2 linked regions of the Arabidopsis thaliana genome follow. The main gene of each other region encodes a partner of the protein of the gene in region 2 in a complex. Each region holds a gene or a part of one and is shown on either strand. Other genes may lie near its edges. The genes, in order: ATHM2 and AT2G04700. A codon is read from its position in the direction of its gene.

Region 1 (4,788 bases), on a different chromosome or scaffold from region 2:
CTGTGACTATTATCAGGAGAATCCGATACCTCAAAGTGACGCGATGAGCTGTATTGAGCTGGTTGATGAATCGCAGCATGAATCGAGGATCCTGGAGCTCTTGCTGATGAACCAGAAGACTGCTCATGAATCTTCGATGAAGCAATGACAAGTAGATCCGGTGAACTACTCCGACGAACACTCTTTCCATTTCGTTTACCCATGGAGAATCGAAACAGCTAACAAATGAGACTGGATCGCAAAGGAAACGAAGAGAAAACGTGTAGAAGTTCAAGAGAAGAAAAAAAATGAGAAGATGAACAAACTCCGGTGAGATTCCAGTGAAATCAAATCGGAAAAGTTTGTTACGAGACTGAGATCGAGATATTTTGCTCTGATACCATATTAGTAAAACAATCTCATTCTCATTAATTAGCAAAAGAGTACAATTGGGGGTTTATATACAAACTGATATTGGCCTAAACCATAAGCCTCTAAACCAAAATTAAGATTGGTTTATAGAATACCAACCTGTACAGACTCTATATGAAATCTATACTAACCAAACTAAGCTTATATACAACAATCTAAGCTATATACATTAATAGACGAAATTTTTAAACAAAACCCAGGATTCGAACATCAAATAACCCATCCCCAACGCAACAAATATTATCAACCAACTTTTCATTTCATCAATGACACTGTGAATCATATAAAAGAGATATGATGTCGGTGTTGAAGATAACTTCTTTATTGTAAGATTATTTTGATCGAATAAGCTGCCTCAAATCTTCTAATTTCGACAACTCTTTATCTGTGAGGACACTATGAACACGTTTGTAAAAATCCATCACTTGGTCTCTAGCTACCACCATTTTCTTTCTTCGCATAGGGCTGGGGAATAATGAGTTCTTACAGTGAAAACATAAGTGGTGACCGGACGCATTGAACCTAACATCGTAGAAAACATTGAGGAAATTTTTGTAACATAATAAAAAGAGACATGTGGAAAGAGAAAACAAAAATAAAACAAAATATTGAGAAGAAACCAAGAAAGGAGGAATTTCTTTAGTAGAGAGATCTACCGAGATTATAAAGAAATTGAGGAGTAGAAGAGATGTCAGCGAGCTAAAGTGACATCAGAGGAAAGACTTTGAAGTGGTTCCTCAATACTAGAGGTATATAAGAAAAAGAAAAAGAGGCAGATCCAAAATGTTGGTTTTGAAAGTTTTATAGATTTTTAAGATTTTGTTTTTGTTTTCATTTTTCAAGAGCTAATTGTCATACCATTACCAATCAAGTTTTAAAATGTTGGTTTTCCAAGAAAATACTTTTGCTATAATCTTTTTTTTTGTCATCAGATATTATTTAGGATTCAACGAACCAATTTTGAAGAAAATTGTTAACAAAAGCGAATTTTTCATGCCAAATAGTTTTTTATTCAAAATTTTAGACTTTTAGTTATCTTATAAGCAAGCGTTATAATTTATTTATTTTTTTAAAGAAAATTTTGAGAAAAACAATTGCGAAAAAATGTCAGGAGATCTTCAAATGTTCAAAAATACAAAAAAAAAAAAAAAAAAAAAAAAATTAGTGTGGGGTAAAATAATACGTTTAAATTTTATTGACTTTTCATTTCAATAGTCAACTTTTAGTGACTTCTTATTTCAGTCGCTAACTTTTTGTTGATGTTGCCAAAATAGTCATTAAATTGACCCGAGATCACAAATTGCGGGTAACGGAACTTTGTTAAAATTTCTGTTAAATCCACAAGTGACTGGATTAAAAAAAAAAAGTGCAACTGGCCTAATATGAGCCCAATAAAAAATATCTCAAAAGTTTTATGGGCTTATTACAGATGGGCTTAGTCAGAGCACTATCTTACCCAAACAATTAAAAAAACAATTTACAATATGTTTTCGTTTTCTACTTTTTTCGGTTATTTTGGGCAAATGATATCTACAGCTCAACAAATCAAAAAAATTCAAAAATATTTCAATTTATTATTTCTCGATTTTTTTCACAACTGTATTTTAATTGTATTTTTAGTAGAAATACTTATTTTTCCAAAAATATTTGTTTGTGTTGATGTATATATAAAAAATCTGCATCAGTGTTTTGTCTACATTTTCTCTTCCATTAGTTTCGTTATCTTTTTATTTTCTCTATCTATCTGGATATTATTTTTTCACTTGGGGATTTGGAGAAACCTCTCCTCTCTCTATCTATAGCCATGGCTGCTTTCACTTGTACCTCTCGTCCTCCGATTTCTCTCCGCTCCGAGACCAGAATCGTATCCTCATCACCATCGGCTTCTTCTCTCTCTTCTCGGCGGATGTTCGCCGTCTTACCGGAATCATCAGGTTTGAGAATCCGTCTTTCTCTCTCTCCGGCTTCGTTGACCTCGATTCATCAACCTAGGGTTTCTCGATTACGAAGAGCCGTCGTCTGTGAAGCTCAGGAAACTACTACCGATAGTATGTTTTCTCACTATTCCTTTTTCGATTTTGGTTATTAACTTGTCTTTGATTCGTGCTCGTTGGTGGATTTTGAGAACTGATTATTGATTTGTGCGAGGGAAATTAGAAGCAAGGTGCTTGAATTTGTGTTGTTGTTCTTGTTGTAGCATTTAGTAATCTGCTAAAAACTTGAGATTAGTTACAGATTAGTGAATCTGGAGGAGGAAGAAGAGTTTCTTTAGGAGAGTATACCTTTTGAGAAAATTCTTGCTGAAAATGAGGTTTCTGTTAGAGGAACGATTCATGCCATTTGCGTGAAATTTGAAGAAGGTTGCTTTTTAGGATCACTTCTTTTTTGGGGATATTTTACTTGATTAATGCAAAGTCTCTCTAACAAACCTAGAAATTAGGTTGGGTACCTACTCAGATATTTTATTGGTTGGATCATACACATTGTGACAAGAAACAGTTATTTGGCTCATGAGAGAAGAATGTTGCTTTTTGTGCTTTAGAGTAAACATATCTTGATTCTCTATACCAGCAGATAACGATTTTGGTTATCACTAGCATTGATATTCTACGATTTTAGATAGGTAAGTCCTTTTCCGTGATAATGTGTTTGGTGAGATTAGCAGTATTATCTGCTACAATGTTAACTCAGTCATTGGTCTCTCCTCTCTGGTGAAAACATAAAGCTTTATCCTTCACTGGATCTATCAAATTTCTATTTTGAAAAACTTTCACTTCTAGATCATTTTTAGGAAATATCATATAGACTTGCTACAACATACTGATCTAGCTGAAGATGGATAAACGGGTCAGCTGTCTCTTTGTTTTATTCGTCCACCTTGGCTGATATATTTTGTTTTCATTCATGATTCTAAAAGCTTTGGCAATAAGGTGTTGATTTGTGTTATTGATCCTGCAGTTCAAGTGGTCAATGACTCGACATGGGACTCTCTAGTTCTTAAAGCAACTGGGCCTGTAGTTGTCGACTTTTGGGCACCATGGTGTGGACCTTGCAAGATGATTGATCCGCTTGTAAACGATCTAGCACAGCATTACACTGGGAAGATCAAGTTCTACAAATTAAACACTGATGAATCTCCTAATACTCCCGGCCAGTACGGAGTTAGAAGCATCCCAACGATCATGATCTTTGTCGGTGGCGAGAAGAAGGATACAATCATAGGTGCAGTGCCCAAAACCACACTCACATCTAGCCTCGACAAGTTCTTGCCATGAAATATCACTTGTGGAGTCTGTAAGATCTCGTATCTCTCTGTCTCTCGTTCTTGTTCTCATTATCTCTGTAACTCATTATCACTGAACATCTAGACCTGGATAAATAATATGATGTCATGTCTTATGTCATTTTTACTGGTTTGAAGATGTTTTGAGATGCGGAACTAAAGGTATCAAAGAACAATCTTGGACTAGACTAATGGAACCACATTAAAATGATTCCACCAATCTTTTTTTGGTCATGAGAGAGATCTTAAGATTGTTTGGTTCTGCAAGTTTTTTGATGAACACACGCTAAGGTTTGTTACTTATTCTAAAACTCCTCGTATTAAAAGATATTATGCGACACTCTAATGAATGAGCACATGTATGCAAAAGGGGCTAAAGGTTCATACATGTCCTAATCTAAAGAAAGAATATACGTATTCAGCTGAAAAAGGTCTTTATCGACCACGAGCAAAAGAGAATAAATACGTTCGAAATATCTCCTTATTTTTGCATAAGCAAAGAAATTCATCCACCATAGTTTATGTGTACCCAATTTGTGGATAAGGATATGTCAATTAGGACAAAATGAATAATAGCCGAAAGAATTGAGTTATTTTTGGACTGATCCCACAGTTCCCGACAAGCTTTTGAGGTTTTAGAGTTGTTGATCCGGTCTATGACTAAAGTTCGACCAAAACCAAGTTATTTAGTTTGGACAATATAAATCAGAAATATCAAGAAGATAAATTATATGATTAGTTCATAAAGTTTTAGTTTTAGATTGCCAAGAAAATATTCTAATATATTAGGTCTGAACGAAAGTGTTAAATCTGATGAAACCTCTCTATTGGTAATGTCTTTTTTTTTTTTTTTTGGTTGCCGTCCTTGGTTTGAGAATTATATATTTAGGCTGAAGATAAGGTCAAAAGAAAGATGCAATCCGGTTTTATAATAATAGATCAGTTGGACTTTTATAAATGCATTTTCGTGACTTTTGTTTGTATCAAACAACTTTCATTATAATATTATGATTTGGACTTTGTAAATGGTCTTCTCGTGTCCTTTTGATTGTATCAACTTTCGCGACCTAAGAAGTCACGACGACGTACATAAA
Region 2 (4,871 bases):
GCATCATTTTCTGCTCTTCTCATATCCTAGAGCATACAAATACAAGTCGGATCGGTGAAAACTAGGCTCGACCTCGATCCACCGGTTTTGTCCATAATACGGGTTCCAAACCACTAGCTTAGCATTGTCTTTCGTGATGTTTAACAACAAACCATCGTAGTGAAAGACTTAAGCTACATCTACTTCATCTGATCGTCTAGGTTAGTAAATTTAGCTTCATGCTTTATACACGATTCAACGTTGGTGTTTAGATTGATGTGCGTCAAATAAACCCTAAAATCAATCATCATGATTACGATAAACTCCTTTTTTCTTTGCTGTACTTTTGCATGACCAACGTGCTTCTTTACAAAGCTCAAATCTTTGAATAAAGTGTTCCACTTTTTGCATGTAAATCAAACTGCTCTTAGAGATTTCATCGGAACCCTAGAGAGGATCTTCTCTACCGTATCCCTTGACCAAAATTAATGTAATGTTAACCTTCGAAAAACAACTCTTTCCAGACTTCTTCCGTCAATTTAAGACATCCTTGACAATGACAACAGAACAACAAAATTACAAACCCTAAAAGGCTTAAATTGAACTTAAAAGCCCAAAACCGATAGTTATGATGGAAATTTATTCATTCAAATTGAAGATAAATAGCGAAGCACTATTGTACAACCAAGTTTCTTCTGATCAGCATAACTAGAGAGGAATACAACAATAATCGACTCTTCATGTGAAGAATACTTTGACATCCACGCATGGCTTGCCCAAAATCCACAACTTGCAAGTATAGAGGCCGTTCATACTTGGCACATGCGAATGCGACATAGAACATTGAACATCACGAGAGAATGGTTGCAAAGAATGGTTACTGTAAAGACCATATCACTGCTTGAAAAAACATAAAACTTGGAGATTGAGATCCGAAGAAGAAGAAGAAGCAAATGAAATACGTTATGAGAAAACTACTGATTTAAGTGGATTGATACTGTTATGGAAGCTTTGGCTTTGAGAGATGTGAAAGAGAAACCTTTAGATCTTTTAAGCTTACTTATTGAAGATTTCGTGTAAAGTTGGATCCTTTTATATAGCTTGTAATCGTTTTGCAAACAAAAGATCATACTAAAGAATATTATCTTAAGAGTGAAAGAGTTGTACAGAAGAACGAAGAAGATGCTCGGGGTATCAATGTACAAGACTGCATTTGGGGCGAGACATATCTCTCTTTTTTTTTACCTAAAGAACAGAGGTGATGAACATGGAAGAACCAGCTCTCTCACATGTTAGCTGTAGTTTCTTTTATTTCATCCGATGTAATCGTCTGCAAGATTCAAACAAGAGAAAGAATTAGAAATCCATATACTATATACTATAGGTTCCCAAATTCCCAATACTACTAAGTTGCTTCGAACCATTAATGGTATCCTTAAAATGGAGACAGAACCTTCAAGCTTTGATTTGAGATTTACCTGATCTTTTCCAGCGAAATCATTATCAGGAGTTAAGAAAAGCATACAATGGCACTCCTTCCTGATGAACAAGTGATAAATACTTTAGTACAAGATGTAAACAAGCAAGTATTATCAGAATAAACCGTCAACAGATGCAAAATTGATCGAACTCTACTACCTAAACTAAGTCCTATTAAAACACAAAGGATCTTAAATTTGCGGTGTATCAGAATTTGATCAAAAGAGCCACATAGGCCAAGAGTTTTACAGGAGTTTTCTAACTATGGTTAATTCAATTTCCACTTGCCTAGCAATATGTGAATACATTCTCTGCATCAATCTTGATACAACCAATACGGAGCATCGGCTACCTCTATGGAAACTACAACATACGTATGCTGCTGAATACTATCCAACTAATAACAACAAGGACGTTGGAGACGATCTATATAACCAGCTTTTCCCAAAGGACTTTATATTCTTAGTTCTAACTATATAGCAACCCCAATGCTTATTATGCAACCACATGAAGAAGATAGTTCTTACCTCTCTCTCATTGGAACACACGGACAATTCCAAAAGCCTTGTCCAACCTCAGCAGCTTTATCATCATAGTGTCTACATCAACAACAAAGGATCAAACTTTACGAATACATAGATAGTTCAAGATTGCTCGGAAGAAGCAAATCACCTGCAAGGGCAAAGCGGTGCACCATATGAATCTTTATGCTCAGCCAAACCCTGCTCACAAAGTTAAGCATTAAACCTCAAGATGTTTACATTCACTAACTCATAATCTACAAGTAGAAAGACACAAGCCACTTCAATAGTTAAGCAGTTGATCACAATCTTCATATCAACACAAGTTCATCTGAAATTTCAATAAGCTCCGATTGAAATCAAGAGTACCTTAATAACGACTGAAGTAACTCCTTTATCAACACAGAAGTAAGTCCCAGAGCGACGAGCATATTGCTCGGAGAATTTCCTCATAATCTCTACTGATTTCTCCGACGGTTCCGCTGCAAAAACAAGAAGAAGATTCAAGATGAATCCAAAACCGAAATCACAATCACTTTAAACAAAGATCTAGGGATTCAAATTGTTTACTTTTCGCTCGGATTACGAAGCGACGAAACGAAGTTCTGGGAGTGACACCAAGTGGACTCGAAAGGAATCCGAAGCTACAAGAAACAGCTTGAAGATTCATCGAGTTTTTTCTGGAATTTGAAGATCGATGAAAAGTTTCGTCGTGGACTTGAAGATTTTTCTTCTCCTCTTGAAATTTGGATTCGTTTATGCTTTTTAGATCGAAATTTTCAGATATTTTTTTGTGTTCATTTTCCAGAAACCAATGCTCGCCACTCACAGAGAGAGAGACTCTCAGAGAATGATAAAGCTTATCCTCAAACCGGAAATAACCGGAATTCGACCATCGAATCGGTTCAAACTTTGCTTCAAAACTTTCGGTTCAATTCGGTTTAGATAAAGAATTTGAGTAGAATTATGAATGAAAAAATCGAGTTTTGGTTTCGGTTCGAGTTGGTGAAATTAGTTTGGTTCAATTGCAATAGAATTCTGATTTGGTTTTAATTTGACTCCAACGTGGTTCAATTACATAAATTTCTAGTTTTATTTTGTTTTAGTGTATTGGATTCAATTCTCTTATGAAAGTTCCGGTTCAATTATGTTTAGATAATAGAATTTAAATTTTAGACTAATGAATAAAAAAAATTGGTTTATTCGGTTTAAATGAGAAATCAAAACCGATTTTCGTTTCGGTTCACGTGGAAGAATTTGTTTTGGTTCAATTGCATAAATTGAAAAGTATTTTGGATACCTTTGAAATTGCTTTGAGGTAATTTACAAGAGATTTTAATATCTATTATGGTCCAAAACAAAGAGTTATTTACAGAAACAGTTACACACTTTTTATTGTTCATCCAATATACATTTTCTTGCTTCACCATTTGCTTGATTCTTGTGAGTTATTATAAAAAGGAAGCGAGTTTGATCCTGAAAACAGTTCAAAAGAACTAAGAGATCAAATGCGAAAAAGGCATACGATTCGAAAATTTTCATAGTTCGGTTTCTCAGAGATTACCGATGTTTTTAAAAGGGTTCACGCAATGTACTTACGACTTGGCATGAAGGTATTCATCTACAGTGATAGGTTTAGCTCCACCATACCAATTGATGAGAAATATATCGATGATCTCGAGTTTAAAGAAGCGGAAATCATGATCCTTAGGCCAATCTGCAAATGATAAAACCATCACATGATAATACAAATCTATCATGAATCTGTATCTTAAGAGATGAGTGAAACAATTAATCACCCATCATCTCTGGATGCTTTGTGAATAAAGCCTTTTTGGCTACTTCTGCTTCCTCAGATCCTCCTTCCAATATCAGCAACTGAAACATTATAATAAGATAAAGACCAAAGCATTTTACAGTAAGTTTCTTTGTCGTGTCAATAAGAAAAAACTCTTTTACCTTCCCGGTAAGGGTTAGTTTAGAGCAAGTAGGATTCATTGGATCTCTTGTACAAGTTCCAAGAGGAGATTCACTAATTGCAAGTGAAGCTCTCTGGTCTTTAAGTGCGTTTCTTGCAGTTGGATCAAGTGTTGTTAAGTAAAAGTAAGGTATACCGTTACCTTTCTCGGGTAAACCATCACTAAACGATACAACATTCCTGCAAATAGAGACCATTGAGATCTCAATAATGTCAAAGCAAGAAAACACATTGTGATATGATTCATGGAAAACAAGATTACCCGAAGGGAGCGCCTTTATGATCAACGGATAGTGTGCTGGAAGAGGAATACAACACCGCAAAAAGAATTAGTAATACACAACTGTTACACTCACATTACCTTGCTGATAACAACAATGCAACAATCTCTTTCACTAATAAAGATCTCAGGTAACTATAGTGTATAGAGTGACCAGTGGTAACTACAGAGTATAGAGGAACCATTTGTTACTCCTAGTGTCAAATCTGAAATCCTAAAAACCTTTCAATTTCAAAAGAATCAAACTTGACGAACTACCAAATCTCAGGAACCCAACAGTACTTGAAAGTCAATATCAATTTCAATAGTATTAAAGCTTGATGAAGCAAATCCATAGCAAGTCTCAAGAACCCAACAAAGTTTATCAACAATAGGATTCAATCTGCTAAAAAAGCTACAAACTTCTGTAAAAATATAACCTTTACCAATTTCAATTTCAAAAGATTCAATCTTTTATCACTGATTGGATTCAATAGCCCTAATAAAGCTCCTAATAATTGAGAGTGGAGCAAAAGCTATCATCTAAACTTGAGAAGCAAGATAAGCAGAAAGAGACGAGAATTAGATACCTAAGAACACCCCAAGAATTCTGAGAGACAAGCCAACGAGCACTTGCGGCGTAGTCATGTCTATC

Evidence for each region.
Region 1: the proteins of AT2G04700 (region 2) and ATHM2 are in contact, whole or in part, in a crystal structure (PDB 7C3F), measured with the Arabidopsis thaliana proteins. Residues at the interface, in NP_001323778.1 of Arabidopsis thaliana: Thr34, Glu35, Pro36, Asp62, Val65, Val68, Val69, Lys71, Gly72, Glu75, Pro86, Cys87, Arg88, His89, Tyr90, Asp91, Lys93, His116, Cys117, Met118, Met146; in NP_192261.1 of Arabidopsis thaliana: Ala107 (codon at 3,444), Pro108 (codon at 3,447), Trp109 (codon at 3,450), Cys110 (codon at 3,453), Gly111 (codon at 3,456), Pro112 (codon at 3,459), Lys114 (codon at 3,465), Met115 (codon at 3,468), Thr138 (codon at 3,537), Asp139 (codon at 3,540), Pro142 (codon at 3,549), Pro145 (codon at 3,558), Gly146 (codon at 3,561), Val150 (codon at 3,573), Arg151 (codon at 3,576), Ser152 (codon at 3,579), Ile153 (codon at 3,582).

What each region holds. Positions count from the first base shown.
Region 1 is NC_003075.7:1,561,483-1,566,270, reverse strand, and holds ATHM2 (Thioredoxin superfamily protein), read left to right. Parts: upstream 1-2,066; 5' UTR 2,067-2,215; coding exon 2,216-2,459; intron 2,460-2,875; exon of another isoform or gene 2,876-3,034; intron 3,035-3,369; coding exon 3,370-3,686; 3' UTR 3,687-4,068; downstream 4,069-4,788. UniProt on the Arabidopsis thaliana protein: Thiol-disulfide oxidoreductase that may participate in various redox reactions. May activate NADP-malate dehydrogenase.
Region 2 is NC_003071.7:1,644,739-1,649,609, reverse strand, and holds AT2G04700 (ferredoxin thioredoxin reductase catalytic beta chain family protein), read right to left. Parts: upstream 2,804-4,871; 5' UTR 2,650-2,803; coding exon 2,550-2,649; intron 2,462-2,549; coding exon 2,349-2,461; intron 2,181-2,348; coding exon 2,131-2,180; intron 2,058-2,130; coding exon 1,986-2,057; intron 1,519-1,985; coding exon 1,458-1,518; intron 1,310-1,457; coding exon 1,265-1,309; 3' UTR 573-1,264; downstream 1-572. Other genes in the region: AT2G04690 (Pyridoxamine 5'-phosphate oxidase family protein), read right to left, coding at 3,575-3,696, 3,779-4,137, 4,220-4,255, 4,807-4,871. UniProt on the Arabidopsis thaliana protein: Catalytic subunit of the ferredoxin-thioredoxin reductase (FTR), which catalyzes the two-electron reduction of thioredoxins by the electrons provided by reduced ferredoxin.